Linked DNA regions of Arabidopsis thaliana. The protein of the gene in region 3 interacts with the protein of the main gene of each other region in a pairwise test. Each region holds a gene or a part of one and is shown on either strand. Other genes may lie near its edges. The genes, in order: NF-YB5, NF-YB2, NF-YC12 and NF-YB7.

The links.
Region 1: the proteins of NF-YC12 (region 3) and NF-YB5 interact in binary tests that used the Arabidopsis thaliana proteins (3 or more experiments, as listed by UniProt).
Region 2: the proteins of NF-YC12 (region 3) and NF-YB2 interact in binary tests that used the Arabidopsis thaliana proteins (3 or more experiments, as listed by UniProt).
Region 4: the proteins of NF-YC12 (region 3) and NF-YB7 interact in binary tests that used the Arabidopsis thaliana proteins (3 or more experiments, as listed by UniProt).

The regions. Positions count from the first base shown.
Region 1 is NC_003071.7:19,579,655-19,586,955, reverse strand, and holds NF-YB5 (nuclear factor Y, subunit B5), read left to right. Parts: upstream 1-3,337; 5' UTR 3,338-3,535; coding exon 3,536-4,018; 3' UTR 4,019-4,298; downstream 4,299-7,301. Other genes in the region: ABCC4 (multidrug resistance-associated protein 4), read right to left, coding at 6,573-6,673, 6,757-6,996, 7,094-7,157, 7,254-7,301. UniProt on the Arabidopsis thaliana protein: Component of the NF-Y/HAP transcription factor complex. The NF-Y complex stimulates the transcription of various genes by recognizing and binding to a CCAAT motif in promoters.
Region 2 is NC_003076.8:19,305,898-19,313,333, reverse strand, and holds NF-YB2 (nuclear factor Y, subunit B2), read right to left. Parts: upstream 4,108-7,436; 5' UTR 3,921-4,107; coding exon 3,348-3,920; 3' UTR 3,062-3,347; downstream 1-3,061. Other genes in the region: AT5G47660 (Homeodomain-like superfamily protein), read right to left, coding at 1-326; NUDT2 (nudix hydrolase homolog 2), read left to right, coding at 1,109-1,420, 1,736-1,801, 1,905-2,042, 2,140-2,217, 2,296-2,346, 2,442-2,476, 2,549-2,657, 2,755-2,943; AT5G47635 (Pollen Ole e 1 allergen and extensin family protein), read left to right, coding at 5,485-5,686, 5,761-6,053; mtACP3 (mitochondrial acyl carrier protein 3), read right to left, coding at 6,449-6,637, 6,731-6,937. UniProt on the Arabidopsis thaliana protein: Component of the NF-Y/HAP transcription factor complex. The NF-Y complex stimulates the transcription of various genes by recognizing and binding to a CCAAT motif in promoters.
Region 3 is NC_003076.8:15,219,657-15,228,644, reverse strand, and holds NF-YC12 (nuclear factor Y, subunit C12), read left to right. Parts: upstream 1-6,120; 5' UTR 6,121-6,427; intron 6,428-6,541; 5' UTR 6,542-6,619; coding exon 6,620-6,730; intron 6,731-6,812; coding exon 6,813-6,891; intron 6,892-6,989; coding exon 6,990-7,051; intron 7,052-7,296; coding exon 7,297-7,503; intron 7,504-7,577; coding exon 7,578-7,649; intron 7,650-7,751; coding exon 7,752-7,805; intron 7,806-8,265; coding exon 8,266-8,268; 3' UTR 8,269-8,437; downstream 8,438-8,988. Other genes in the region: AT5G38170 (Bifunctional inhibitor/lipid-transfer protein/seed storage 2S albumin superfamily protein), read right to left, coding at 617-928; AT5G38160 (Bifunctional inhibitor/lipid-transfer protein/seed storage 2S albumin superfamily protein), read right to left, coding at 2,498-2,809. UniProt on the Arabidopsis thaliana protein: Stimulates the transcription of various genes by recognizing and binding to a CCAAT motif in promoters.
Region 4 is NC_003071.7:5,652,398-5,660,094, forward strand, and holds NF-YB7 (nuclear factor Y, subunit B7), read right to left. Parts: upstream 4,122-7,697; 5' UTR 4,093-4,121; coding exon 3,445-4,092; 3' UTR 2,994-3,444; downstream 1-2,993. Other genes in the region: NAD-ME1 (NAD-dependent malic enzyme 1), read left to right, coding at 1-36, 292-403, 603-716, 865-930, 1,179-1,251, 1,349-1,435, 1,520-1,574, 1,682-1,753 and 3 more.

The DNA.
Region 1 (7,301 bases), on a different chromosome or scaffold from region 3:
TACAACTGTCTCTTCGTCTTCCTTTACCCTGTTTCCGTCATTTTACTATGTTTTCGCTTTCGTGGCAACTGAAACTTTTTTTTTAATTAATTAATTAATACTTCTTCTTCACTTAGCCTCCGTACGTGTTTAATTACTTCCTATTTATACTTTCTCTTACTAATTTTTATCTTCTTTTTCATGTTAATTTTTAGAATACTTGAGAATTTTATTTAACTATTCTAACTCTAAAAACTTTTTGTCAAATTTTGACTCGCAATTTAAACCAATGCATGTTGCGTTGACCACCCAAGAATGAACTTTTATCTCTAAAACTGGTTTAGATAATTACTGTTTCTTTTATTTTTCTTCTATTATTTAAGGTGTCATGATATATATAAATAACACAAGTGTCTAAAATAAGAAAAAGTAAAAAAATAAAGACGACGGTCTAACAACTCCGTACAAGCCAAATAATCTTCTTTATATAGTTGTTTGTTTGTTTGGGTACCTAGAATAAAATAATTGAACTTCAAAGGCTTATTTTCATTTCAAGCCCAAAATTGAGGCTAAGCGAATTACCACCCTCGAAGTCAAATAATGACCCAATGCTGCCTCTCATCATTCGCGTCATATACACAACACAGCCCAAACTTTTTTTTTAATTAATTAATTAATACTTCTTCACTTAGCCCAAATAATGACCCAATTGTTTCACAAAAAGCATCACAATGCTCCTACTTTTTTATTTTCCTGTCCAAGCATATTGTGCTACTTAGGGATAATGAACCGTAGTGGAGACCGAGGGAAACAGGCCATGGCGATCAACTGGCCCATATGCGAAAGCCCAGTGATCAAACTCCAAATACATTCCCGGGTCTGGGTCAAGTCAACATTTTTCACAAGTAACTATAAACAATCTCGCCAGTTGAAATGTGTATATATAGTTTGGATTCTTGGCGAATAACGAGAGAAAACTTATAACAACAAAAAGAAAAGAAAAGAAAAAAGACAAGACTAATTAAAGACAGACTAACAATTTGTATTAAACATACTGAAACAATGTTTAATTCAGCATGGACCACGCACAAAGCTACTCGCACGCTTAATAGATTCACTATACTCGATCTTTACAAGTGGGCAATAAAAATGCCATCAAATATATATATATATATATATATATATATATATATATATATATATATATATATTGCTTATGCTGATCTTAGTTAATTAGATTACTATAATTGCATGACTATATATACCAGCTTTTTTATTCGACGATATGAATAAATATATGCGTTTGCGATTTAATTCAATTTAATTAAATTTATTTTATTAGACATTGGAGAATCGAAAATATATTCCTTAATAACAACTTTAAAAAATCACTAGTCGTTTCCTTTTCTATCAAGCCATACTTGAGAGGACATTTCACAAAGGTGTTATTTTATCGACCAACTTTAGGATTTAATATCTTAAATTTTGTACTATATAGATTTGTATATTCACGTTCTCATGGTTTCAACAACTAATTAATGCTTTATATGTTTTCTCCCTGAAATTCCAGCAAATACACATATTATATACACACAGTTTTTCATTAGTAGTAATTCTTATCTAAGTAACTAAGTAAGGCGCATCATTAGTTTTTCTACTAAACATACTTTTGGTGTAGGATTCGAAAAATAAACTTCCATATGCAACCATATGACCTAGCTAGTTTCATTATTACAACCTTAAACCGTTTGAAACCATTTATGACGAGTCAATTTCATCTTTTGATTAGGAGGTAGAGAACCAAGTTAATGAGCAAGTAATACTAATAATTACTGTTTATAATATAGAAATGCTATGAACGTCATCATGCATCGTTCAATAATTAATTAATATCTAAAGGCGTTCAACATTTGTTTATCCGTTTCAAGGTGGTCCGATCCACCATCGGTCGACACTTGTCCTCACTTTGTTAATGATTTTACATATATGTATATGTAGCTGTAATATTTAACTAATGACTTAGGTTTTTCGGGAAAACAAATAACATAAAATAATAGCCAACATATCATACTTCTAGAACACCATGCTCTCCAAAATCTTGTAAAATCCTCTATGTAATTTATAAATCTATCTTTACATTACTTCTTTAAATAATAAATGGGAATGTTTTGCTAAACAGCTCATATTATTCTCATCCATAGTAAGGCGACAAAGCTTGTAAATGTTTTCGTCTCAATATAATGCAGAATTTACATAATGCTGTATAGCCAATCAAAATAAATTAAAGTTTAAAATATAAATAGCTAGTTAACTAACTAAATCACTGTTTTGCGGATATAAACTAAATTTCGTCTAATAATTAAATACTGGTAAAAAGTAAGTAAAAACATAAAATCACATATAAGAGGAAATATATATATATATATATATATATATATTATTAATCCAACTAGTTTTGATTTGAAAGTTCATAGAATTTAAATGGTAGTTTGATTAAAGTAGGTTATATCATCGAGATTGAGTTCTAGATGGATAAGAAAAACCTAATGTGTTGACAAAATATATATATCAAAAGTGTGGTGAAACAAAAAATTATGTATTTCCTCAGTTCGAAAATATAAAATATTTTAGTTAAAAAACGATTTTTTTTTTAAAACAACATTATTAATAAGTAGTTGAAAATATAATTCAACCAAATATTATTTATAGCCTCTTCAATTTTGGCAAGCAGACTACTAATTATAGACCACAAGACGTGCTTTTATATGGTCCACGAGTTCGATATTATCGTTTATTAAAGTGACTAGCTCTTAAGGAGGAATGTGGAATAATTGAATAATTTTTGGTTGAGGAGAGTTTCCAGACTAACTGGAGTGTGGAGTCAATCCACAGATAGACGGTATTGACTTAAGCAGGAGGACCAAAACTTCCTTTTTAGGGTAACATCAAGTACGTCATCAACCCCAAACTATTTTCGCCTTCACGTACGTTGAGGATATCATATCATATTCATTCCCAAAGGCGAGATAATTCACTACTAAAGGAATGATATATGTGTTATATATTCTTAACACATTTCAACATTATTTTGTTTGCAACACATCTTATTCTATGATTACATTTTAATTGTTTTAACTCAACCAAAAGGGTTTAGGAGAAAATAATTAGAAGAAAATTGAGAGAGAGAGAAATTAGCTAGACCTGCCACATTGTCTCCCCTGTGACCTAGACCACTCTCATTGGTTTGTATGACACGTCACCACCATTCTCTGACCAGACAAACATAGATAGATACTCCTTAATTAGCTCTCTTGCCTTTCTACTTATATATAAAGCTAATTTAACTACACAAATCTCTCTGTCAAAACGAATATTTTTTTAGATGTATACATAATAAACACATTTATGTTAAAACCTCTCCTTTTTCTGTGTGCCATATAGTTTGGCAAATTACATATCTTCGTTCTATATCATCATTCGTTGTTGTGAATCATACTGAAACGAACCCCTCACCAAACAAGATTTATAGATCCTCTGCTTTAATTATAAGATTCTGATGGCGGGGAATTATCATTCGTTCCAAAATCCAATCCCTCGATACCAGAATTACAACTTCGGGAGCAGCTCATCTAATCATCAACATGAACATGATGGGTTAGTGGTGGTGGTGGAGGATCAACAGCAAGAAGAAAGCATGATGGTAAAAGAACAAGACAGGCTACTTCCGATAGCAAACGTAGGAAGGATCATGAAGAACATCCTCCCAGCAAACGCAAAGGTCTCTAAAGAAGCCAAAGAGACTATGCAAGAATGTGTGTCCGAGTTCATTAGCTTCGTCACGGGAGAAGCATCCGATAAATGCCACAAGGAGAAGCGAAAGACCGTTAATGGAGACGATATCTGTTGGGCTATGGCTAATCTAGGGTTTGATGATTACGCCGCCCAGCTCAAGAAGTACTTACATCGTTACCGAGTTCTCGAAGGTGAGAAACCTAATCATCACGGCAAAGGAGGACCTAAATCCTCGCCAGATAATTAAAATTCTTCCATCGCTTTTTGATTTTCCTTGATTAATCTCCATGTCATCATCTTCCTCTTTAGGACCAGCTATCTTTTTCTATCTTCTCATATATTGTTCTACATATATAAATAAATTTTATGTATATGATGATATAACATGTATGTGGTGTGAGGTACTGAACAAATCTGTGTTAATTCTTCCAGCTGATTTTGTTATTTTCTATATTTTTATTTATTTACATATATTGGAGTGGAGATCGATCGATGTGTATATTATGAACCATTTTCGGGATTTTCTTTTGGTTGCTTCATTAATGCTTTTTAAACAATTTATTCAGATTTAATTAATTTTCGACTGGTATAATTAAATAAAATTAAATCGAGCATCATACAACAACACAAGTCCTGCCACAACCAACCAAACCGGTTTTTAACTGTTTACCATCTAACTTTTAAAACCGTCAATCATGAAGATGAACTAATATATCATCAACTTTGTAGATTAATTTCGACAGTGAGGATATATACTACCATGTCCCTTTCCTCTGATCTAGACTACTTAACCCTCTATATATAAGAAATCAACTTTGCAATTTCGTAGTTTGTGGAATTCTTATTCAGTTAAATCAATTGATTTCTTTCGACAAAAAGCGAAACTTAGTCGACTTTCAGTATTTAGATATATTTTTAGATTATGGCATTTGCATATAGATTATTCGCATTCATTTATCCACACTAAAATGCTAGCTATTCCGTACACATCATATAGAAAAATAAAATTTACTACTTCGATATTGTTTTCTTTAAAGCCTAATTGATATTTAGACCTTATGTCGATATAGATTAATTCTATTTTCGACGTGATTCACTTTCTAAACAGTATATAGTACTAAGAAATAAAAATGGGCTAAATTGATTAGTTAAGAGCGAGTGGTCCATAAATCCAGATCAGTTCTCACATGTTATTTACTAACACAAGATCCCTGGACCTTCCACATAAAGAAAGTTATACATGTCTGACTCACGCTAATAACGTATACTTTTTACTCCAAATTTCAATTTGACCATTATACTCTTTTTTTTTTTTTTTTGTTAATACCATTTCAGCTGTTGATATCAAGCAAATATTTTCGCCTTCTCAAAAGATGTTATGTATTGGTTGATATGTTTGACCAAATAAAAAAATGTTAAGTTGAGATAGAATCTTAAGTTTAAAAAGAGATATATCTTAATTTAAATATTGTTGTTAATGTGTTGGCCTATAATAAATCATAGAGGTGGTATATATCGACGTTGTAAAACAGGACTATGATGCATAAAAAGAAATCATGTTATTTAAGATTTAACTGGCTGTTTAGAGGGAGCCAAATATTTTGGCTAATGAGATAGAGAAAGAGAATGTGTTTTCAACGGATTCTTTTTGTTAAAGAATATAAATATATATTAATCATAATGAGGCTTTTACACACAGGTCATAATTGAATGTTAATTAGGGCTGTAATTAAGATATAAAAATAGCATATGAAAAGAACATAATGAACCAAAAGCGGCTATATATGATTCCTCCAAAGAGGAGTCAACATGAAGCTGAATTTGTATCTGGTGGTCCTTTTCATCTCCTTTGATGTTGTTTGCAGTGGATGATTCCGCACGATGGTGTTGATCTCAAGTTTTCGTGTGTGTTAGCGAGAAGCTGGTTAGTGAGGAGTTCAATAGTGTATTACTGTCTAGTGACGTCGTGTTAATCCAAATATGCAAGGTCTTGGAAGTGATTTCTGGTATAAAAAAAACCGAGAACCAAAACATGCTGAAAATCTCGGTGAATTAGTTGTGTCACTAGTGTTGATCATCAATTAACTGTGTTAAATTTTCTCTATAATATTATAAAATGTAGCAATTGTTTTCTTAGTAAGTACTACAAAAAAAGGTTTGAAGAAGAGCGACCAATCATAGGCTACATAGTAATTCTCAAAAACGACTAACTTATACCTTGAAGAAACCAAAGATTCCAATTTCACGCATATCACCGTTTCACGCAAATTCTGAAGTTATATAGATCATGTGCATCCATCAAAAAATGTATTTGATACAAAATATTCAATATAATAAAATACACTGCTCCACTCTATTAGTCTATTTTCATAAGATGTTTATAATTATTTATTTTTTATTTCATTTTCTTTGAAGTTATTTAAAAAGTGTAACTGAAATGTAATTTTTTTATTTCCCTTGCCTCAAATATATGCTGTATTTTTACTATTCTTTTATTATTAGTTAACTTTAAAAAACTAATTAATTGATGCTTTTCATGTTAAAAACATATAAATTTTAAAATATCTTGCAAATAGAAACGAATAGAGAAAAATTCACGTGTTGGTAGATTACTGGATTGTTATTAGAGAGTTGTTTGAAGTATAGTGAGCGAATTAAAAATTTACTGTGTTGCTTGCTGCACTAAAATTACGATGTCGTTTTTGAATCTAAAACATGTGAGATTATAGGAATTTTCTTTGATACAAATCTCATTTGAAGAAGGTTTTAAAATATTTTCAGTCCCCGCCGGCGTAAAAGATTCATATTCCGGCAGATCGGAGAGCGTACTCTTGCACCAGCGCCGCAAACAGAGACGGCCTCTCCAGCAAGCGAGCCGGGCTATCGAACTCTTTCGCTTTCCCTGTTCAAAATTCCATAATTCATCAACTCTGTATTTCTGTAAAACTGAAAACATGACAAGTTTGTTTCTTTTTTAAGTCTTACCAGCATCAATGACAAGGACTCGATCGCCGTCCATCACTGTAGGAATCCGGTGGGCGATGCTGATGATGGTGCACGACGCAAAGTCTTCTCTGATGATCTTCTGAATCACGGCGTCGGTTTGGGAATCAACGGATGCAGTTGCTTCGTCTAGGAAGAGAAGTCTGCTGCGTTTCAACATAACCCTGCCTAAGCATAGAAGCTGCCTCTGCCCTACGCTCCAGTTCTCCCCATTATCAACCACTGTTCCAATCAAGTATTAATACTTCATATATATAGATACAGAGATTTCTACGATATATATATAGATCAAACTCCATCGTTACAGATCAATACTCACCCAAAGAATCGAGCTTCTCAGGCTTGGTAGCTACAACATCCTTGAGTTGACACCGTTCCAGGCTCTGATAAACAGAAAAAACGAAAAACAGATGTTGTTATATGTAACAAATGGTTTTTAGCTTTAGAAGATCAAGAGGCAAAACATGTTTTATCATCACCTTCCAGATTTCTTCGTCAGAGTATTGCTCTGTCGGGTCGATGTTGCT
Region 2 (7,436 bases), 4.1 Mb from region 3:
ACGTCAGCAATCTTCGATCCCAAAGGAGCTTCGAAGCAGCCAAAACCCATCTCCGGCAGCCTATCTAGGGTTCCGGCGAGAATATCAAGAGGATGTCGATCCTCCGACGACGACGGAAGCTTAACGCCACACCTTATAGGTTTCAATTTCTGAGGAGGCGAAGCCAAGTCTGCGAGCGTAGCCAAAGCGTCGTCGTTTCCGTTAGAACCCATTTGACGGGTACCGTACATCCACCCGCAACCACCGTCCGAACCATCGAATGGGTTAATATCTTCCTCAAAGTCGTCGCCGACTCGTTTCCGACAGTCGCCGGCGAGAAGTTCCATTTCGGGAAAAGGTAAAAAAAATAAAATGGGCGGCGTGAAATCCAGAAGAGACTGCCCAAAGTAAAAGCAATTCAAAGGGTAAAAAACTCTATATTTACCTTTATACCCTCAAAGGAGTAACATAACCTCCATTTTATCCTCACTTCACTTCAGTCGTTTTCTTACCCGTCGTTATATGACCCGACCCGAGCCCACCTGAGCTGAATATGTTCTGTAATTTGTATCTACACCAGTTTTGTGTAAAGGCAAAAAACACTTTAGCCCCGTGTGGCTCAGCGAAAGCCGCGGAGATACCGACATATTTTATATCATAATCCATAATCCATATTAAGATTGGGAATCTGAGAAAAATTAGAAGAAAATCATTGGTAATTTCTCTATCAAGCGTAGGTGTCACAACACAAACAATCCAGAGAAACTATTCCACGTACGTATTAACCTTTGACCTTAACCTTCTTAAACAGAAAATATTGAAGTTTTTATGTTCTTGTGATAGAAATATACAGTAACAGAATATTTTCTTTGGCCTTTATTGACATATTTTAGAAGAAAAATAGATTACTTCCTTGTTTTATTATTATTTCACTCATCATACGTTGTAGAAAGGGAACCGCAAAGTGAAAAAACAGGTTTTGTATGCTCAAATCCTTCAAACGAGTGATCAATCTATTTAGCAATTTAAAAACTTTCAGATTTATATAGAATTTGTTTTGTCTGTTACTTATTTAGGACAAATCTTTAGTGTAAATTGAGTTGAGAGTTTTGTTTTTTCTTCTCTCGTAATGATGACTTGCCGTTTGGCCAAAAGTTATGGTTTAATCAAATTGTTGTTGTGTAATAAGAATAATGGCCGTCGTCTTCGTTTTCCTCCGGCTGATGGGTTCTCTGCGTTTCACAGTTGCTCCACCACGAGGAACAGATCCATGTCTGCTTCTAGTTCCTCCACAAATCCCATGTCCCGTGAGGACGCAACAACACTGCTTCCGTCTGTTCAAGACAAGTACGGTGGCGTGATGACCGAGATGACTCATCCCATGGATCCTTCTCTCTTCTCCACACTTCTCCGATCCTCTCTATCTACCTGGACTCTTCAGGTTCTCTCTTCCTTCTTCCTCTTGTTAAATTTGATCTTATTGGATTCGATCAAAATGACAAATTTTGTTATCCGAATCAAGATACTGGTACCGATTTGTTGTTACATAGAAGAATCATTGTAAAAGTTTGGGTGTTAAAAGTGTTAGTGTCACTATTCCGCTTGAAAATTGTTGTATTCTAATGCGGGCCAGAAACTCTCTTTCACTTTGCTGCAAAAAAAATTAAATTCAACTTTTCCACTACAGTAATAGACGGTGAATAGGACTATGAACCGATCTACTGTGAAATGTTTACAAACGTTTTTATGTACGCAGGGCAAAAAGGGAGTGTGGATCAAGTTGCCAAAGCAGCTTATTGGTCTTGCTGAAACTGCTGTTAAGGTCTTGTTTTGTTACCTAATGCGCAATCAGATATCTTTAAACCCCCTTTTGCTTATTGTTTGGAGAGTCTTCATATCACTTACTGGTTGTGTATTATGTGTAGGAGGGATTCTGGTTTCACCACGCGGAGAAAGACTACTTGATGCTTGTCTATTGGATTCCCAAAGAAGACGATACGCTTCCTGCCAATGCATCTCACCGTGTTGGCATAGGTGCCTTTGTCATTAACCACAACAAAGAGGTTTGATTACTGATGAGATGAGATTTTTAGTGTGTCTTTTTGGAACATCTCCAAGAATGGATCACATCTCTTTTCTTTTCTGTATTTGAATCCAAAGGTGCTGGTGGTTCAAGAGAAGACAGGGAGATTTCAAGGTCAAGGTATCTGGAAGTTCCCCACCGGAGTTGTGAATGAGGTGCTGGTTCTTATTAAAGCTCATTACATGGTTAGGTTCAGCTCTCTGATTCGCCTTTTTGTGTTTGTGTTGAGTCAGGGTGAAGACATTCATGATGGCTCAGTCAGAGAGGTGAAAGAAGAGACCGGAGTAAGGCTTCTTCATGCCTCAACTTTTCACTGTCCTCTTTACAGTTTACATGAGACCAAGAGCTAATCCCACTCTTCTGCATCGTATGTTTTCAGGTGGATACAGAATTCGACCAAATATTGGCCTTCAGGTAGCAACTCCAACTGCATAATCTTCTATATTGCAACATAACTGATTCTCGTCTGTTTTAAAATTCTGGCAGACAAACACACAAAGCGTTCTTTGGAAAGTCAGATTTGTTCTTCGTGTGCATGTTAAAGCCCCTTTCTTTGGAGATCAACGCACAGGAGTCAGAGATTGAGGCAGCTCAGGTAACAGTTTTTGCTCCTCACTTCAACGACTCTCCAGTCTCATCCACTAAAACACTCATAAACCTCTTCTCTTTCTGAAAATGGGAATTTGGTGCAGTGGATGCCTTGGGAGGAATACATAAATCAACCATTTGTACAAAATTATGAGCTATTGAGGTATATGACAGACATTTGCTCTGCTAAAACCAACGGAGACTACGAAGGCTTCACTCCTCTCCGCGTCTCTGCACCTGATCAACAAGGCAACTTGTACTACAACACCCGCGACTTACATTCGCGCAATTGACCTTCTTTCTCAACAAACAGAGCTTTCCTCACAGATTCTAACGAAGCTGGTTTCTTTGCTGCCTCTCTATGTAAGCATTTTGACACTTGAATCACTACATAACTCTCACCAAAACATAAAAGCATCCCAAATGAAAACATTTGCATTCAATACAATGGCTTTAGTTACATACAAGATTCAATGAAGCAGATTCGTTAGTGAATCCTATTGTTCAACAAGCACACTTGATCTTCTTTACACAGCCTCAAAATCTAAACCCTTAATGCACATCTGATTTTACATCACCAACACCAATGTTCGTTCTATCACATGATAGATACCTTATATGGGTCGTAAAAATAGGCATGTGTATACATGTATTTATGTATCTATATACAGAGAGAGATCCACTTCACCAATCTTTGTTAAGTCCTTGTCCTACCGGAGGCAGCTCCACCTCCACTGTCGCTACCGCCACCTGTGGCTCCATACATATGGTTCTGCTGGTGAAGAAACTGATGATGTTGGTGATACTGCATCCCACCACCACCACCGTAGAACCCACCGCCATCTCCGACAGCATCTCTCTGATGCTCTCCGACCTCACCACCAGTCTGTGGCCTCCCTAGTCCAGTCCTCTCCCCTTCGATCTCCCTAAACCTCTGCAAGTAAACTTTCAATGGCTCAACATAATCCTCAAAACCTAGAGTAGTCATAGCCCAGAGCAAATCGTCTCCGTTGATCGTCTTCCTCTTCTCCTTCTGACACTTATCAGATGCTTCTCCGGTGACGAAGCTGATGAACTCGGAGACACACTCCTGCATCGTCTCTTTGGCATCTTTAGAGATCTTGGCGTTGGCGGGCAAGGCCTTCTTCATGATCCGGCTGACGTTAGCGATCGGCAAGAACCTGTCTTGCTCTCTTGGAGACAAGGAGGACTGTCCGTTCTGGTTGTTCCCGTTTTGCCCTCCACCGGAATCCCTGTCGGAATCCCCCATTTCTGAAAATTACAAGGAATAAAAAAATAAACTTTACTCTTTTTTCAAATCATTTCCATCAATGATTCGAAATCGAATTCAATTGGTGGTTGACTTGAGTGGGAAGACTGAAGCGAGAAAATTTAGGGTTTTAGAAAGAGTAAAAAGAGCAGGTGTGAATTGTTAAGTGTCGGCTGGTATTGTACACAGTGGTGAAGGAGTCGCCGGAGCTTATATAAAGAGAGGACGCACGACTTCTGCTCACTTGACACGTGATCTTATATGAACCGTCCGTTTACTGATAAGATTCTGACAACTGGATACGTGCTCGACCGTCGGATTGGAATTGATCTTGTTTGAGAGATAGACAGCCCTTTAAGGCTTTGCCACGTGTTGTGGACAGTTAGTGGACCCGGCACACTTTTGTCACGAGCCGACGCGCATAAGAGGAGCGTGGTAAACACACAGAAGAGAGAAAGATAGCGCGTGGAAAACACGGAGAAGATAGGTGGGCGTTAGGGAGACAGAGGGTAACTGCCACTCAACGACCCTTCGGTCAATTTTTCACTTCTTTTTTTTTTTGTGTTACGAGCGAATTGGGTTGGATCATGAGGGTGTGGTCTGTGGTGGGGTTCATTGCCATCAAAACTGCATCGACCAATCAGATCAGACAGCTGTTTGGAAACAAAAAGCGTCCCAGTTTTGTCCACTTTTGACGGTCTCGATCTTCTCCTGTGGGTCCAACCATTGTCGCTTTTCTAAGCGTGTGATTAGTTAACATTAACAATAATCACCAGCTTCCAGCTGTATTAAGCTCTTAATGACATAGCTAATACTTGTCCCACCTGGAGAATCCTAATGGGCCGTTAAGATAATCAAACTGAATGGCCCATTAAAGGTGATGGACCTATTATCAATATCTAGGCTTCTTTTAAGCCCATACTTTTTTCAATGTAATGAGGACTTGAGAAACTGTGGTTTGGTCAAAACCCTGCTGACTCCCACCATCAACTAGATATTCTGAGCACGTAGACACGACCAAACCCACGATGTTGAAGCCGTTGTGTTCAAAGCTGAATGTGTGCGAGTATAGTTGAGGGTAGGCTTGAATCTTTTGGTTACTGCATGACTACTCTAACTGAATTGGCTTAATTAAATAAAGAAAAGGAGAAACGTCACACTAGATACAAAAACGTTGCACCAAATATTATTATTAAAATAATACTTATACAAGGAGTGAAAGAGTAGGCGAACCACTCAGTAATTGCTTCCAAGTGCCGTATCTCTCTTTCTCTTTCGCTCTCGGTTCATTGTTTCATTTGGAAGATTCAGCTCTAAATTTGACCCTAACAAGTCAGCCACGATTTTTAATATATTTAGAAAAGATACAACTGAAAAGAAAAAGGCTACTACAAGGTATAAAGAGAGACACTGCCGTACAGAGCTGTGTGACCTGAAGCCACCACGCAAAGGGTCTCTTCCTCTTCTTTAGCTTCCTTCTTCTTCTCTATATATTCATGCTATTTTCATTTCTTTAACAAAATACAAAGAAAAACAAACAAACCTCTTTTCTTTGTTTTTAACGATGGGAAGCTTCTTCATCATCCGTTGCTTCTTGTTACTCTCTTTCTTCTTGTTCACCGGAGCATTTGGGAATAATTTATGGACCAGAACGGAAATGGTGGAGATGGCTGGCTACGGTGAACAGAAACTCTCCTCTGTCGTGATCACCGGATCTCTTCTCTGCGACACTTCACGTCCTCACCTTCACTCCATCCCTATCCCAGGTATTTGTTTCTCTACCTTTTTTCTTCATGTTTCTTGTCTTCCGTCCGAATATATACTAACATGATCCTCGCAGGTGCCACCGTTGCCATCAAGTGCCACACTGGATCCAAAAGGAGGTCCAAATGGATTAAGGCTGTTACTGATGAATTGGGAGAGTTTGAAATCGATCTTCCCTCCCAACTCCATGCGATTCCACACCTTGAAAACACTTGTTTCATCAAGCCAGTATATGTGCCTAGGCCCTATAGATGCTATAACACCTCTACCAATATACACAAACCTATCAAACTTGTTTCCTCTACCAATGGTTTCCGTGTCTACACCTCAGGGAAAATCAGGTTACAGGGCCACAGTTCGAGATCATAGCAAGCTCGTTGAGACAACATTTCAACCAAAAGATTTGAACACAAACAGCTGATTCTTCAAGTTCCTTCATGTGAAAAGCATTTTTTTTGTTATGGTCCTCGTTTGCTTAGCTGGCGCTCCAGTCACAGAACCGAGTTAGAGTCTCTCTACATTGTGTTTCATGTTCCCAAAGTGTAAGAACAAACAACTGTAAGCATCATGTATATAAAGGCTCCCATGTTTTTGGTACAAAAGTAGTGTGATCACATTAGAATATATATCATATAAAATGTTTAGCAGCAAAAACCCAAATGATCATATTGGCTGAAGCAAAGACACACTGACACAGAGCATGTCTCTAAACTTGCATTAACTAAACATTGAAAACAAGAGAGACAGAAAGGCAGAGATACAACTCAGGACTCAGACGCTTTGGTAGGAGTTTCAGAGAGTATGTATGTTGCAACATCACCACAACAAGTAAGCTTATCAGCTTTCTCATCAGGGATCTCAATCGAGAACTCTTCTTCAATAGCCATAACTAGCTCCGTCTTGTCCAAGCTGTCCAACGACAAATCTTTCTGAAAATCAGCCCTTTCAGTAACCTGCAAGTAAACAAGCCCCGTGTTACAAAACAACCATTCACCAAAATAAAAGGTTATACACAAAGAAAAAGCAGCAGTTTTGTAATCCCTAACCTCAGAGGTGTTGGTTTTGTCGTATTTCTTCACCAGTTCAATAACCCTGCTCAATATTTGATCTTGGCCTCCATCTGCAGCTGCTTCTGATGTGAAATTAAAAATACCAATACTCTTGAAACCATTCTCGTTCTGAAGAAGCGAAGTGGGTCTGACAGAGACTCTCAGTCTCAAGTGTTGCAGGATTGAGCTCCTAATGCAATGCATCTGAAACAAACATGAACATTTCAATCAAAGTGGACTAATTTCTAATCAAGTCTTCAGCTTTTAAAGAAAAACCTTAAATATTCCCTCTGGTGATGCCTAATGTTTCGACACTGATATGGAAGAAATCAAATTCAAGGACATAAAAATTGAAACTTTAATACACGGACTATTAATTTCCAACCACAAAATAGATCGAGAGCTCTTCGAAGCCATACCTGCGACTTTACGAGTGAGGATTCTTCTTAGGTCTGATTCCTCTGAAGCGGGAGACAATGATAAGTTATAGCAGAGAATAGGAGTACAGAGAACACCTACTGGGCCGAAAACATTATTGGGCTTTAAGATAAAATATATGCGGCGCTTCGTCTTTTTTAATCAAATTGTAGGCCCAACAAATTTTATGGCCTTTTCAGACAATTGTTTTGCTCATTTATAATTATGGCCATGTGATTGCACTGATTATAAACCTAAGTTTATTTCCCCGATTTAGTAAGGCTGC
Region 3 (8,988 bases):
ATATCCATCAAAAACCACAAAACTGTATTTTTCGTAAAATTATATTTTTTAAAAAAATACATGTAATATAAATATATATATATATATATATATTTATGTTTCATAAAAGCAAAAAGAAAAATGAATCTCAATTTATAAATGTATATGGATTTATGCGACCAAAATCCATTTGTTACTAAGAGGCTCTTGGCATTGGCTCGTACATCCCCTCATGTCGGGAGAGACCAGAGTATTTAATTTGGTTTCTTTCATCCCAAGCTCCATTCAAACCATCTACCTCTACGGTTTGTTGAAATACTTTACTAATTGAGTTATTGACATTCGACAATAACTTGAATATTAATTTGTTGTAAATATACTTTAGATTAAAGATTCATATAGTTAAATTAAAAATTGTGGTTAAACTAAAACATAAGTATTTTAGTTATTTTCTAACGTTAACACTATGATGTTCAATATCTCAAACATCAACAAGTAGGATAACACTATAATTTTGTTAACCATTTTAAAGTCGGAAACGAAGAAAAAAAAAGCATACAAAAATGTAGAAACATGTGTGCTTATGTTTGTTAAATATTATTATCATTAACAACTTTTTTTAGCAATATCTCAAAAATCAACAAGTAGGATAAGGAACACCACAAGTTGCTAACGTTTTCTTAGCATTTGCAGAACCAACATATTGACTATATCTTGGATCTTTAATATATGTACAAAAACACGGCTGTTGCTCCTTCAGTTTCCCGCAACACTCTGTAGACGGTGGTACTCCTGTGAGCATTGGTGTTGCGCATGAACTAAGCTGTACTGCATCACACGTTACATCAGCTTCTCCTCCAGAAAGTTTGACCTCAGTTGCTCTGATTGAAACTGGAGAAACCATGACACCCACCACGAACACAATGAACACAAGCGCCGTGAACTTCATGTCTTCAAACTCTAGGAACTTTTCTCAACTTTCAATTTTTTTTTTTCTTTCTTAAAATGTGTATTTGAGAATGTGATTTGATTTTCAGGATGGTAGAACTGCTGTTATATAGATGTAGTTGTAACGGACAAGTTTTTAAGTTTGGTTTTATTAATACACGTTCATACATATGGCAATCATGCATGAAAACGTGGAAAATAATGATTTACTAATTCTAAATTTTAACCTACCTAGGGAATTACTAATTCTCATTTTCGGTTACCCCTCCAATCTTTTTTTTAATTATATATCATCTTAATAATCGAATAGATATATAAAATTCTAAAAGACTAAAGACCAATTTAATTGACTGATCGTTATTGAACGTTAAAATGGAGAATGCATGGTGTGTCAATGTAGATATACGTACTAATAGAATAACATTTGTACCGTATAACATTTTTGAATAACATAAAATGACATGTTATGGTAAAAAATAAATATACTAACAGAATAATTTGTTATATCGTTTTCTTCAAAGAAACAGGCCATAACATTACATTCTTTTCTTTTGAGCCAAAAACATATTTAAATCAAGATGGATTTAAACTGCTTTTTTAGTCGCCTTGGCTTGAACATGCTTGAGATGGTTCTAGCTATATTTAAAGAAGAATAGTGCTTGGATAGGGTAGAGGACATACGAACGCGAATGTGGGGCTCTTTTGATCATAATAAGGCGATCTGCTTCGTGGAATTCATTCGGTGTTTGATTAAACAACATCTTCATTCGCATTGTGATGTTAGGCGTTTTACAGATACATGAAATGATTTGTCAGTTTCTCATGACCAAAACATGGTTCATCCGCTAGAAAATTAGAAAAGTGATTTTGAGACTCGTTTTAAAAAATCTTTATGAAGATTAAACCGTTTGGACTGACTGTATGATTAACTTTTAAGAAGTTTTTTGGTACTTTTTATATTTTTGAACAGTTCCATTAATGATCTATCGTGTATCACGGTCACATTGTTACTTTGTTAGTAAGAAAAAGGTAAAAATGTCAACAAAAAAATACGAATTTTTGAATTTGGGACGATTAAATCATAAACTACGAGGAAGACAAATAAATTTAAAATCGTAAAATTTTGGTTAACTTTAAGTTTAAATGACAAAGTTTGATTGACCAGTCACTTAGGCATGGTGTTTAGTAGACTAATTAAAAACTTTTACGATATTAAACTCCTGTTAGTCGTCTCTGTTGTATCTAAACGACATTGTTTTGTCAGTTGAAACGAGACAAAATCGCCAAATCGAAACTCAAATCAAAATCCCAAAAAAAAACATCAGTTCAAATTTACCATTATTATTATTTAAAATAAATCACTTAATTATTGAAACACGGGAATAGACTCTCAGCCGTCACACCTACTGCCCTCCATCTTAACTGGCCATGCATTGGATACTATAATATGATATGTCACCTCCCAATTCAAAACCATATCTTCACCATCGACTCATTGTTACATAAAGATTTAGTTTTAAATTTTTATTATTATTGTCATTAATAGCTTGTTTTAGTAATATCACAAACATCAACAAGTAGGATAAGCAACATCACAAGCTGCTAACGTTTTACGAGCGTTTGGAGAAGTAACATACGAACTATACAACGGATTTTGAATGTATGTACACAAACAAGTTTCATGCTCCTTCAGTTTGCCGCAACAATCTGTAGATGGTGGTGCTCCTGTGCTTACTGCTGTTACACATGAACTAAGCTGCGTCGCATCACACGTTACGTTCACTTCTTCTCCGGAACCTTTGACCACCCTTGCTTTGACTGGAACTGGAGACAACATGGTACCTAACACGAACAAAATGAACACTACTCCCGTGAACTTCATGTCTTGAAAATCCTTTTCACAGCTTTATTTTTTTTTTTCTTTGAAGTATATTTGAAAATGTGTTTTGTGATTTTCAAGATGGTAGAACTATTGTTATATATAGTAGATGTAGTTGTAACGGACAAGCCTTTAGGTCTTGTCTTATTAATTAACGTTCATACATTTGGCAATCATGCATAAAGACGTGAAAATAATCATGATTCACAATTGCTCAAACACATGTTAAGTATGTGGTACGTCCGTTATAGTATATGTATAATTTTTTGGACCTAGTTGTATAAGCTGTATTTAAGAATAAATATCAAGTGGGTCTATAAAAAAGTTAGAAGAAAGTTTCATACGTGTTAAGTTTGTTTACGTCCGTTAAAGTAGATAATTTATTGGGCCTAATATGGGCTGCGTTAACTAAGATAAAGTGGGCTTCTTAAAAAAGTGACAAAAAATTGTCTGAGCCCGGGTTCGAACCGGGGACCTCTAGTGTGTGAGACTAGCGTGATAACCGACTACACCACCCAGACGATTTGTTAATAATTTGAGAAGCTTATTTATATTGCCAAAGTTACGGATTTGAGTTTCTGTGATTCTTGCCATTATTCATGCTACTTGACTACTTGAGTCCTCGTCCTCAGATTTATATTCCCAGAAGAAACAAAACGTCTTAAATATTCTCCCAGGAATATCAAAATGATGATAACAACTTATCAAGCATCTTCATCATCACTCTCCGGTTGTTTCTTTCTTACTCACCGGTACGTTTACTATTGTCCATTTATAATTCGATTCTTGTATTGAAAAAATCTCTGGGTTTGTTTTCTTTATGTGTTTTGATGGTTTGGTGATAAAAAAGATTGGATTTTTAATTGCCACTTTACATTGTTAGAACAAATGTTGAATCGAGCAATGGAAAATTCCGACATGAAGAGGAACAGTTCTACTTTGTTGGATTTACCAGTCGTTAAGGTAAACCAAAAATCTTCAAATTGGATTGATTCTCCTTAAAGCTCAGGATTTGATGATGTTTCTTTGTTTTCTTTGGGATAAATTTCTGTAATTAGTCGTCTTTAGTTGTGGAGGCTATACATATGTCAAGAAAGAAACTTGGTTGGTACAATGAGAGTAGAAGAGATTCAGAGACTGTAAAAGCTAGAGTAGAAGCGGGATTGTCCGAGGTAAAGAAGTCGGTGGAGGAGCTCGCGTTACTGATAAAAAGGTCGAATCGTTCTGCGGGGTTTCAGGAAAAGGATATGGAAGTGTTGAAGATGGAGGAAAAGTATGCGGAAGTTATGAGAGTTTTGGAGGTTGTGAAAGAAGAAGTGAGTAGAGTGAAGCTTGATGTATCATCTGTTTTGATAGAGAGAGTTGCAGCAGAGGAAAAAGTCGAAGAACTGCGGTTTAAAACGGAAGGGGGTTTGAGATTGTTGGAGAGTCTGAAGAAGGAAATCGAGGTTGCGAATGAGGAACATTTGATGGTTGCATTGGGAAAGATTGAGGCGTTGAAAGGATATAAAGAGATAGAAAGACAGAGAGAAGGGAAAGCTATAAAGGTTTTGGATTTGTTGGTGGAAAGGAATAAGAGAATCAAGAACATGTTGGAAGAGGCGGAAAGATCGAAGGATATTGAAATTGAGTTGTTTGAGACGAGTACGGATGTTGAGATGTTGGAAACACAGTTAAAGCTTTTCAAGAAAATGGAGAGGAGAGTTCAGGGGAGAGATAGTAGTAGTATGTCGAGATCAAACCGTTCTTTTGGAAGAGGGAAGTATAGTTTATCGGTTTTGAAAGAAGTGACTGAAGGGAAGAAGGAGGAACTTGCTTCTGTTAAAGTAGAGATCTTCAGGGTCATGACAGTAATGGATGCGTTGAGGAATGAGATTATCCGAGCCAGGGATGAAACAGCTTGCCTTGGAAAAATCTTGAGGGAAGATGATGTTAAGATTGAGAAACTCAACTCAAAGATTCTTATCGAAAAATCGAAGTTGGAAGTGGTATCTATCGCCGAAGAAAGGATTAGCTCTCTTGCTGAGAATTTCGTTGGTTCGCTTGAGAAGATAAAGAAAAGTAGAAATGCTGCAAAGAAAGAGGAGTTCCTTTTCAAAGAAGAGAAGACGGTTACAAAGGCGGAAACACAGAAAACCAAACTTGATATAGATAAAAAGGAAAGCGAACTGAATTCAAAGTTGGATGAGCTTGAAAAAGTGAAGCACACTGAGGCTTTAGTGCTTGAGAAGCTTGAATCTTTAGTAGAAGACATGATGGAGAGTCGCGAAATGGAGTCTGAGCATTGTTCAACAATCACTATCTCGAGGTTTGAGTACGAGTATTTGAGTAAACATGCTTCACAAGCGGAAGAAACCGCAGAGAAGAAAGTTGCAGCAGCAGCGGCGTGGGTGGAAGCACTCAAGGCTAGCACAAAATCGTTTCTGATGAAGACGGAAACTTTGATGAGAGAAAGTGAAATGACGAAAGCGGAAGAAGAGAGAGAAGTGTTTAGGATGGAAAGGTCATTGTCGACGAAGAGATTGGTGGAGGGTGAGATTCAGAAGATTAAGAGGAACTCGGAAGCTGAAGGCTATATTTCTCCCAAACCAGTTGGAAAATTCACACCGGTCCAACGTGGGAAGCCAAGAAGATACTCATCTGTTGGAACTCCAACTTTCTTTGTAATCAAGAAGAAAAAGAAAGTTCCACGCTTGGCCAAGTTCTTCAGTCGCAGAAGTTAAAAACTCAAATCATTTTGACTTCTGCGTTCAATAACAATTGCTAGAATCTCTAAGAAATCTAAATTCTATGAAATGATTCACATTCACATTCTTGTTCTTGTTCATTGTTGTGCATGATCATATAATACATGGAGTAGACTCATTCTAGCATACGATTGGTAACCATTGTTTTCATTGGCTTTCAACATTTATTTGTATGTTGCTGATCTTTATGAATACACTAGGCCAGTTAGAGGAAGAATTTTTCTCCTGGGTCTGTTCTGTCATGAACTTAGAGTTTCTGTATGTAATTTTGGTTATAGTTGTCTGAAAATGTTGATTTCTGGGTACCATGTAGTGCATATGTTTGGTACTGGTTTGACAATGTGTGAGCATAGTTATATGAATTATTTGTTCTATATCTTTTTTGGGTTCATGGTTTGTGGAATCTTAAAGAGCAACAAGATCTAGGGTGTTGGTCACTGTTCGCTATGGTCTGTTTCTGTGAAAGTTGGTGTCTAACTGATACCATAATCAAGAAATAGGATATATTTATTTTTACTAATGTAAATGTTTGTAAAATCGTTTGCTTGTTTTTATGCCATTACATTTCTATCATTTGTGGAAGTTAAGAGTTACCAAAATCAGAACTCAATAAACTTGATGTGGCTTTGATCTAATCCAGGTTTACTTGTGTGACAACTTCATTGATGAGACTGGATCACATTTAGATGAGTTGTGGCATATTGATATCTTTGGGTTCTTGAAATTACATTTAGACTATGTGCTCTTACTATATAGACTGAATTCGGTCATCAGGTTTCTTCTACGCAGCGCGTGGCTTTCACGGAAAAGGTCTGCGAGTGGTTCTTTCGTATGTATGCCTCACGAGCTCCACGAGGTATATCCTTACTAACGTGTGAGTATTAAATGTTTTCCTCTTTATTCCAGAAAAGTTTGTTCACAATCTTTAAAAGGAATCTCTTAGTCATTGGTACACTCTTAAATGACTATTATTACGTTATGATTCTAGCTCCATATATAGAGAACCCTTGTTCTTGCCAAACTCTACATCTTCAAAGATTTTTCATCATCTGTTGTGAAATATAACATGAGGAGGCCAAAGTCATCTCACGTCAGGATGGAACCTGTTGCGCCTCGTTCACATAACACGATGCCAATGCTTGATCAATTTCGATCTAATCATCCTGAAACAAGCAAGGTAAATTTAGTCAGTCCTAGTTCTGTGTTTTTGGCTTAAAGTCTTTTTATGTATGTTTCTTTAACATTTTGGTCTTAAACAGATCGAGGGGGTCTCTTCGTTGGACACAGCTCTGAAGGTGTTTTGGAATAATCAAAGGGAGCAGCTAGGAAACTTTGCAGGTGACTGATATTAAGAGATGTTTAGAGTACCTAAATAGGAAAAAAGAGTGCATTGACACCTAAATGCTAATTCTTCGACTTGTTTTGGTTACCTACAGGCCAAACTCATTTGCCGCTATCTAGGGTCAGAAAGATTTTGAAATCTGATCCTGAAGTCAAGGTATGTGAGGTTAACTTGAATTATGTTGGCTGGTCTAGAGTTTCTGAAATTGCCATTATGATCAAATTTGTTAGTCTGTTGAGTTTTACTGTTAGAATGTTTTAGTGTTGTTTATTTTTACTGTTCCTTTGACATCTTTCTAAGGTTGATATCAATACTTATAGACAAGATATATGTGACATCAAAGATTTGAAGAAATATGTTTGTTATTACAATTTTTTCCTAAGATATATGTGAATTTTCAGAAGATAAGCTGTGATGTTCCTGCTTTGTTTTCGAAAGCCTGTGAATACTTCATTCTAGAGGTAACATTACGAGCTTGGATGCATACTCAATCATGCACTCGTGAGACCATCCGGCGTTGTGATATCTTCCAGGCCGTAAAGAACTCAGGAACTTATGATTTCCTGATTGATCGTGTCCCTTTTGGACCGCACTGTGTCACCCATCAGGTTAGCTCCTTTTCGCAATCTTACTCGTGAAATCAAAAAAATTATGTTTTCATGTGCTAAATCTTTCTGTTCAGGGTGTGCAACCTCCTGCTGAAATGATTTTGCCGGATATGAATGTTCCAATCGATATGGACCAGATTGAGGAGGTGATTATTTTACTTAATAATTGGTATTATCTGAAACAAAGCATTTTAATGCGATGCTAAGTTAGAATTCATGTTCGTTTATTGCATTTGCACCAAAACCAGGAGAATATGATGGAAGAGCGCTCTGTCGGGTTTGACCTCAACTGTGATCTCCAGGTAGTTTTCTTTGAGCTTCTATTCATACAACAATTGCATTAGTGTATAGTTTCTGTTTTGCAAACATTTTAGATTGAGGATGCACTAGTAAACATATTGTTAGAGAACCCATTTAGAAAAGAACTTCATAGTAGCTTCAATTTGAGAGCAATCTTGCTAGCATCATTGTTAGGACTTAACAGATTTGTGCATAGAGACTAACTAGATAGGGGATAAATATATAAAGGTGTATCCAGAGAAATCCATGAGACATTTGGCATTTGCAGTATTTGATTCATTGAAGGATTTCAATTTGATATCTTGTTGTTTTTTGAGTAGTTAGTTGATACTTGTTGATGAATGCGATACCGAGTTAATTTACTTACGGACTGCGAATAGAAAATAAGAAACCATTTGGTTGTTTGTTCCTTAAGATTTATGTTCTTGCTATGGATTTGTACTTGTGGCTTCGGATCTGCAGTGAACATGAAGCTGCTCTGGAAGACAAAAACTTGAAGAAGAGAAGAAATCTGAAGAGGAATCACCCAACAACTCTATGTTATGTTCACCTTATAATAGTTTATCATAAACTCATTCACTAAACTATGTGTATTATTTATTGTTCCTGAATAAAAATACAATGTTTCGGTGTTTCCTCCTAAACCAAAAAAGAATAATACAATGTTTGATATTTTTACTTATGTAATTTATTTTTTTATTTATTTTATTTTGTTTTTTTTGTCATTTGCACGAAAAAGTTTTCTACACATTTTGATGAACACGTTTTAGGTGGATCTATTTTGGTTTCTCTCTTTAATAATGTCCATGGGTGGGGCACAACTCTGTACAACACCATAACTTTTCGTATCCTTAGTTTTGTATGGCCACTCTTTTGCCACTTCGGAATATTTGCCAAAACTAATGTTAACCAAAACTAATGCTTGTCAAATCATATTGTACCGAAAAATGTAAAGTATGGTGCCAAAGTAAGGTTTAACATCAAAGGACACCAAATGATGTCGAGGAAGGATGTAATTAACTAATGGTATGACATGTAAGCAAGAGATATATTTTTCTTCTATATTCTATGAAAATTGTTTACCAAAATATGTTTGTTTTTAAGTATGGACGGTGAAGTAAACGACACTCCGTCATATAAAATCAAAAGTTCAAATATTTCACATGTTCTTGTTCTATAGATAAT
Region 4 (7,697 bases), on a different chromosome or scaffold from region 3:
CCCAAAGATGAAGATCGTTGTTGCTGGCGCGGGAAGGTAAGCCATTCTCGGTTGGTGTTTTTCTCGTCTTTCCTGGTCCTAGTTTACCAGAAATTGGTATTGGTAAAAGATTGGTCTTGCTGTTACTGTTTAATTATTTGTTGGTCAGGGATCTTTCGTTTATTTGTTGGTTTTGAGTAATGTTTGAAGAGATTTAAAATGAAAACTTTCAGCTGCATCACTGCATAAGTTAGCTTAGACTACTTATATTAGAATACTGAGCTTCCTTGTAAAAATCTTTGATTTCTTCAGTGCGGGAATTGGTGTTCTAAATGCTGCGAGGAAGACAATGGCACGAATGTTGGGAAATACTGAAACTGCGTTTGATAGTGCACAAAGTCAATTTTGGGTGGTTGATGCGCAGGTATGTTATTCTATAGTGGAGTAATTGATTTTCAGATTAGGGAGCTGATAAGACGTTTTAGCCAGTCAAGCCATTTCCCTCTGGTTTCCTTTTACTGCTGATGAAATCACTTCATCATCATTTTTTTTTTGGGCGTGTGTTTTGGTCCAATAGCTTAAGGAGCTGAAGTTGTGAACTCTTTTTTTTGCACTTAAATCAGGGTCTTATCACCGAAGGCCGGGAAAATATTGACCCAGAGGCTCAGCCTTTTGCTAGGAAGACTAAAGAAATGGAGCGTCAGGGATTAAAAGAAGGAGCAACTCTTGTGGAAGTGGTCTGTTATTCTTTCTATCAATATGTTCATCAAGTATACTAAATCTAATTTGGCAATGAGTCTGGTGTTGGAGAGAAATTCTCCCTTAAAAAAGTTTCCCTGCTTAATACTGACAAGAAACAACGGTTTTCTGTTTCATCTGTGCTAGGTTCGTGAAGTTAAACCTGATGTGCTTCTTGGTTTATCAGCAGTTGGAGGGTTATTCTCAAAAGAGGTAATGAAAGCTGCCAAACGGCTAAACATATCTAGTGCTATGCAACAGAATCAGTGATTTAACTAATTAGATGAGCGCGCAAATGAAATCTAGTATTTCTTCAGTGACCACTGTCTTCATAATCTGGTTTCCATGGTAACTGCTAAGTAGATGAGTGAGCTAGTAGAATGTAGCATAGCTCATTGCTTGCATGATTCTGACATATGGTAGTTGATTTTTGAAGTCATTGTTGGGATATTGTGTTGAAGGTTTTAGAAGCAATGAAAGGTTCAACCTCGACAAGGCCTGCTATATTTGCAATGTCAAACCCCACAAAAAATGGTAATTTGTCTTCTTTCTTTGCCATAAAATGTGTTTTGCGGTTATTTGTGATTCTTTTTTGGATAGATGTAATAGGTACTTGTGTTTTGAATAACAGCTGAATGCACGCCTCAAGATGCATTTTCGATATTAGGCGAAAATATGATTTTTGCGAGTGGAAGCCCATTCAAGAATGTGGAATTTGGTATGTATGAGGACCTCTGTATCATTTAGCATACGCCATTTTATATGAGGCTTTTTCAAATATTAGTACCTTTTCTTGTGGCAGGAAATGGTCATGTAGGACATTGCAACCAGGGAAACAACATGTATCTATTTCCAGGGTTGGTTCCTCTTGTTTATTGTCCGAAAGAATTGCATACATTCTTGAATTGATACATTAATTGTCATGAAATAAATTGATTTTCTAATCCTGTAAAATTTATTGTAGTATTGGACTTGGCACTCTTTTATCTGGTGCTCCCATTGTCTCCGACGGGATGCTTCAGGCCGCATCCGAGTGGTAAGCTCCTTTCTTTACCTTTTTCATTTATCATTCCTGATTTATTCTCAACTAAAGCTGAAGTGAGTACCATGATATATAACTACGGACCAAATTTAAATGATTATTAAGAATGTCCGCATATTTGGCTGATGTCACGAACTATAACATACCCCCCATCCACGAGACAGGAACCACAGTAGTTCGACATGTTCTCTCCAAATGGTATTCCCAATAGTAGGCCTTCGGTTGAGGTTTCATATTGTAGTTAGTGTAAAACTCATATTTTTAAGGAGACCATGAAAATAAACAAGTCCCGTAATTTATGAATGTGGAATCATGACATTGTTCTGCTAAACTACTGCAGCCTAGCAGCATACATGAGCGAAGAAGAAGTGCTAGAGGGGATTATATACCCTCCAATATCAAGGTAAGAGTAACACAATCAAAGAACATCCTTACTGTTACATAAGAAAATGTTTTGATATAGTTGCTACATTTGGCATGTGGAATTGAAATTTCAGGATACGAGACATAACAAAAAGAATAGCAGCTGCGGTGATTAAGGAAGCGATTGAGGAGGATTTGGTTGAAGGATATAGAGAAATGGACGCTCGAGAGATCCAAAAGCTGGATGAGGTAACAATTCAGCTAATGACTTGCTTTAATATAATCATAAATGATAGAAAAAGAAAAGATGTCAAAACAACATCCCATCTTTCACGTGTTTTGGACTCCTGATCATAAAATCGTATTCTACGAAGAATGTCGATCGGGTTTGATTATATGTAAAGAACAGAAGAGTGTTTACCTGATTTCTCACTTAGAGAAAATAAAGACTAAACCAGAAACTAAGCCTAAATGTTAGTTATGTTGACGCGGTCTTGTGTATTCCGCAGGAGGGGCTGATGGAGTATGTGGAAAACAACATGTGGAATCCAGAGTACCCGACTTTGGTCTACAAGGATGACTAAGTTTGGTTCCCAAAATGAATAAGTCTACTTTCTCTTATTTATATGTAAAAATTTATAATTGGGGTTGCTTTATACCCAATCAAATTCATAGCTACTGCTTTCTCTTGTTCTTATGTAAAAAAAAAAAAAATATATAATTGGGTTGTTTGTTATCCAATCAGATTCATAGCTTCCACTTTCTCTTATTTATATGTAAAAAAGAAGTTATATTCAATCAGATTCATAGCAGCAACATTTTACATACATCGTATTAGAAATGCATTTACTTTTATAACTTATAGTTTCAGGTCAAGATACTAAGAGTAGTGAGTGAGGAACAATTTGAAGTTCTTTAATTCAAGCAATCATCTTTATCAATCATAACATGAGTAAATGAATGAGAAACAATACACCATTCTCTTCCAATTAAGCTATTCTCTACTGGAAACCTTATAAGCTAGACCACTAACTCTCAAACCGTAGGTGGTAAGTATTCTAATCCAATTAGCAGCATGGAATTAGTTTCTACTGTTGTAAATCATGAGAGATTGCTATATTTGCTCGAGACGAACTAATCCGGAAAATATATGAAGACGAATTTCTGTTACACAAAACCATGGGTATACTGAAAATATCAAAATGTACGTGTCTAGTGTCTATATAGCAACAAATATATATAAGCATCAAGATGTACTCACAAAAGGTAAAGAAAAGCATATAATATGTGAAAAGAAAGAAGAAAAAAAGCAAATGTCTCTCTCACCAGTGAATTGAATCAATGTTATTATCATGCTGCTGCGGGAACTGTTTCTGCAATGATTTAGGAGAGAAAGCAATATTGGGAAAAGGTTGATGATCCACTGGTAGGAATGGAGAAGGATGATGATGAGAGATGTAACTAGTACATGACATGTTGTTATTGTTTTGGTCTTGTTCTTGAAACTGATAATTATGATGATTCTGTTGTTGAATCTGCTGTTGTTGTTGTCTTTGTTGTTGTTGTTTTGGGCTGTTAACTTTCTCTCCTTCGGTGTCTCTATATTTGCAGAGGTAGACCTTTAATGGAGCCACGTAGTCTTCGAAACCGAGAGTTGTGATAGCCCAAATGATATCATCTCCATTGATGGTCTTCCTCTTTTCTCTTTGACACTTGTCAGAAGCTTCACCAGTGACGAAACTAATGAACTCCGAGACACATTCTTGAACGGTTTCTTTAGCGTCTTTTGAGATCTTACCGTTACCGGGAAGAACTTTTTTCATGATCCTTCCGACATTCGCAATGGGAAGAAACCGGTCTTGTTCTTTGTTGTTGTTGTTGTTGTTGTTGGTCTTTGAAGAAGGGCTTCCTGGATTTGTTTCAGCTACTCCAGGAGACCCATGATCTTCTTCTGGGCTCTCCTCAGTCATATCTCTATCTCTTTGTTTTTTTTTGTGATTGATGTTAACCACATGTGATCAATCTGATTTTATGGTTAAGCTTAGTGCATGAAACTAGGCAACTTTTCTATTTATGGATACCTTGCCAACCAAATTTGGAACTCCATGCGACTCGCTCCTTTTTTTTTTTTTTTTTTTTTTTCTTTGTTATTTGCCAGATAATAAAGAAAAGTGTAAGAAAATAGCAATCATGTAACATATTGTCATCAAATAGTGTTTTCAATTTATTATTTTCCGTAGTATGTTTATTTAGTATGTAGACAACTATAAATTATCATGTCTCCATAATGCTTTGATTTATTGTATTATAGTAATTTCCTAAACTCTAGCCTGGTAAATATATATGGTGGTTATTTATCCGAGAATATTACACGTAAAGGCACTATTTTGAAACTTTGGCCACAAATAGGCACTTTAAAAGCATTAGTCACTTTAACTCAGTAGAATTACCCCTTTACCCTGAAATCGTTAGTTTAACAAAACCTAACAAATTTAGCCGGTTTTCGGTTTAATTTTTTAATCTCAATCTCTAAACTAAAACCAATTTGTGAGAAACCTCTTTTTCTCACCCAATCCTTCACGACGATTTTACAGTTTCATTTATCTGGGCAGTTAAAATCATCACAACGACGATAACATCATCTCGACTCCGGCGATCATCCCAACGAGTTTTCTACCGGCAAAGTCATTTCCTCGTCCCTCTCCCGTCGTTATCGTCAACAAAGCTTTCAATCGGCCGACATTAATTCGTCCTCTCCCGTCGTCGTCGTCAACACTTGTTCTCCCGTCATGGTCTTCATTTTCTTGTCTCTCAATCGATTCGTCGTCTCCGGCGTGTGCTAGTAACTTCTACTCGGTCCTCAAATGCAAGGTATTAATCTTCTCCAATCATTTTATTTGCTCTAATTATTCAACCGTGTGCTAATTTTATTTATAATATCCAACATTGTGAAGAGCTAATAGGTGAAGACATGAATGCTACGTTAGGTGATATTTCAAAAATGTTAATCACAAGACCTTATCTTCTTACCACAGACTTCGGCTTGCTTATCTCCTCATTGTTGACGGTGTCCTCGTATCCTCAAACCAACCTATTACGTCTACATTAAAATATGTAGAGATGTTGGCAGATTTGGAGAAGTTCCTTAACTGACTGAGGTCTACGTAACTGACTGTCTATACACATGTGGATAAATGGTCAAAGAAACATGGATAATATACTTTGGATTGACGTTTATTGTTCATGTATAAACTTATGTATTAGTATGAAACTATCATGTGAGTCTTTAGATGATCATGGACTGGACTGCTTGGACAATCATTAATGGACAAATATGTCTTTGATTTGCTGCGAATATGTTTATAGCTCGATAAAATTGTATCAACATGTCTATATACATGTGGATAAATGGTCAAAGAAACATGGATAATGTACTTTGGATTGATGTTTATTTGTAAATCTTAATATAAATGTCATCCAGTCATAGTGAATTATCCAATCAGACAAACGAATTAATACAGTTATGTTGTGGATGGATTCATATGGATACATTAACAATTATCTTTATCTTTCAACATGAAAAGCGTTTGATATGGATACATTAACCATATCGATAATCTTATCTCTATATTGCTGTTGAATGTTTTAGTGGTTTGTATCATATTATTTGTTTGTTCCATCCATAACAACATTTTTTCAAGTGCATCTAACATTTGATATCAGTTAACAATGCGAAGAAAAATAAATAATTTTGTGTATTTTGAACTATTGTTTATTTGGTAAATCATTCTAGCTAATTATGTTTACAAATACGTTAAAACTTAATATAAATGTCATCCAGTGATAATGAATTATCCAATCAGACAAACGAATTAATACATTTATATTGTGGATGGATTCTTATGGATACATTATCAATTATCTTTCTCTTTTACCATGAAAGACAAATCTAAAATTCCTTCTACCGGAAATATTGAGATACTGTTGTATAGCGGGAATATTCCCACCATCAGGTTTTAAACTATATTGTTTACAATATGATCAAAAAAAAAAAACATATGCACACTTAGAGACAAAGAGAAGCTCGTCAGCTCTCCCGTCTCAACCAGCTCGTCAGCTCACCCGTCTGAAGCATCTCGTCAGCCGGTCCGTCTCAAGTAGCTCATCAGATCGCCCGTCTCAAGCAGCTCGTCAGCTCACCCATCCGAAGTATCTCGCCAGCCGGCCCGTCTCAAGTAGCTTATAAGCTCGCCCGTCTCAAGCAGCTCGTCAGCTCACCCGTCCGAAGTATCTCGCCAGCCGGCCCGTCTCAAGTAGCTTATCAGCTCGCCCGTCTCAAGCAGCTCGTCAGCTCACCCGTCCGAAGTACCTCGTTTGCCCATCCATCTTGAGTAGCTCGTTTACTCGTCCGTCCGAAGTGTCTCGCCGACTTGCCCGCCCAAAGTAACTAACCTACTCGCACGTCTCGAGAAGCCATTCAACTCGTCACTTATCCGCCGGATCATCCCTAAAACTGCCTAACTCGACATACGACCTTCCTCCAGTAATGGCCTAGCTCGTTTATCGCGATATGAACTACGTGTGGCTTGATCCCTTTCTAAGGGTACGTAGGCAGCCTTTTGCAGTTTATCTTTTATTGGACTTGATATGTTGGATACTAGTTTTTTTGCCGAAACAATTTCTTAAATTTTTTCCATACGAGTTTCTTGTTTAATGGTGCTCAAGTCAAACCTCCAGCACCAACCTGTAGTAAATGCAGTTATCGATGGAGATGATATCATTTACAGAGACTACGTGGATATCAGTATCGCTGTTGGTACCCTCCACTCTAGTTATTCTAAACCTTTCAGATAACTACAACTTCCATCATATTAAGATTTTCAAAGTCTGTAAAAAATGGCTATTGCAGGCCGATACTAATTCAGGGAGAGATTCCTAATCGACGCAAATAGGCCTCTCCAACAAATCTCTCTTTCTCTCTATCACACTCTTTATCACTCTCTGCTATCGTAGATCGGAGAATCTCCTCTGAGAGCTCTAATCTCTCAGTAATCTTCACCGCGTGTCCGGATCTAATTTTCCTGTAAGTAATCTCATTTTCAAGATTTATCTGCGATTTCTTCTCTTGATGCTAATTTTCCTAATTTTCCCCGAAGAATCGAGACCATTATGTGGAGAAGAATCGTTTCATCGCATCTTAAATCCATCTCCGCCGTCGGGTCCTGCGCGGCTCCGTCAGATTTGATTTTCGATATAGCCTTTAGCTATCAGTGTTACAATCAATTATCACAGTGAGAATTAACAACCATCGACATTGAGATAATTTCACTCGGCGAAGGTAACTTCCTTTTCTGTAAATATCAACTGTGGATTTATTAGAAGGGAACCAAATCAAAACAAACATTTCTAACCGGGTAAGTAAATTTTTGGTTTAGATGAGTGGGGATATAATTGTCCATTTATTTTTCAAAAACAAGGAAAAGTGCCTTGTACGTGAGAAGTGCCTCAAAAGGAATAAAAGTTTGTAGAAGTGCCTAAACATGTCCAATTCCCTATTTATCCACAACAATATATT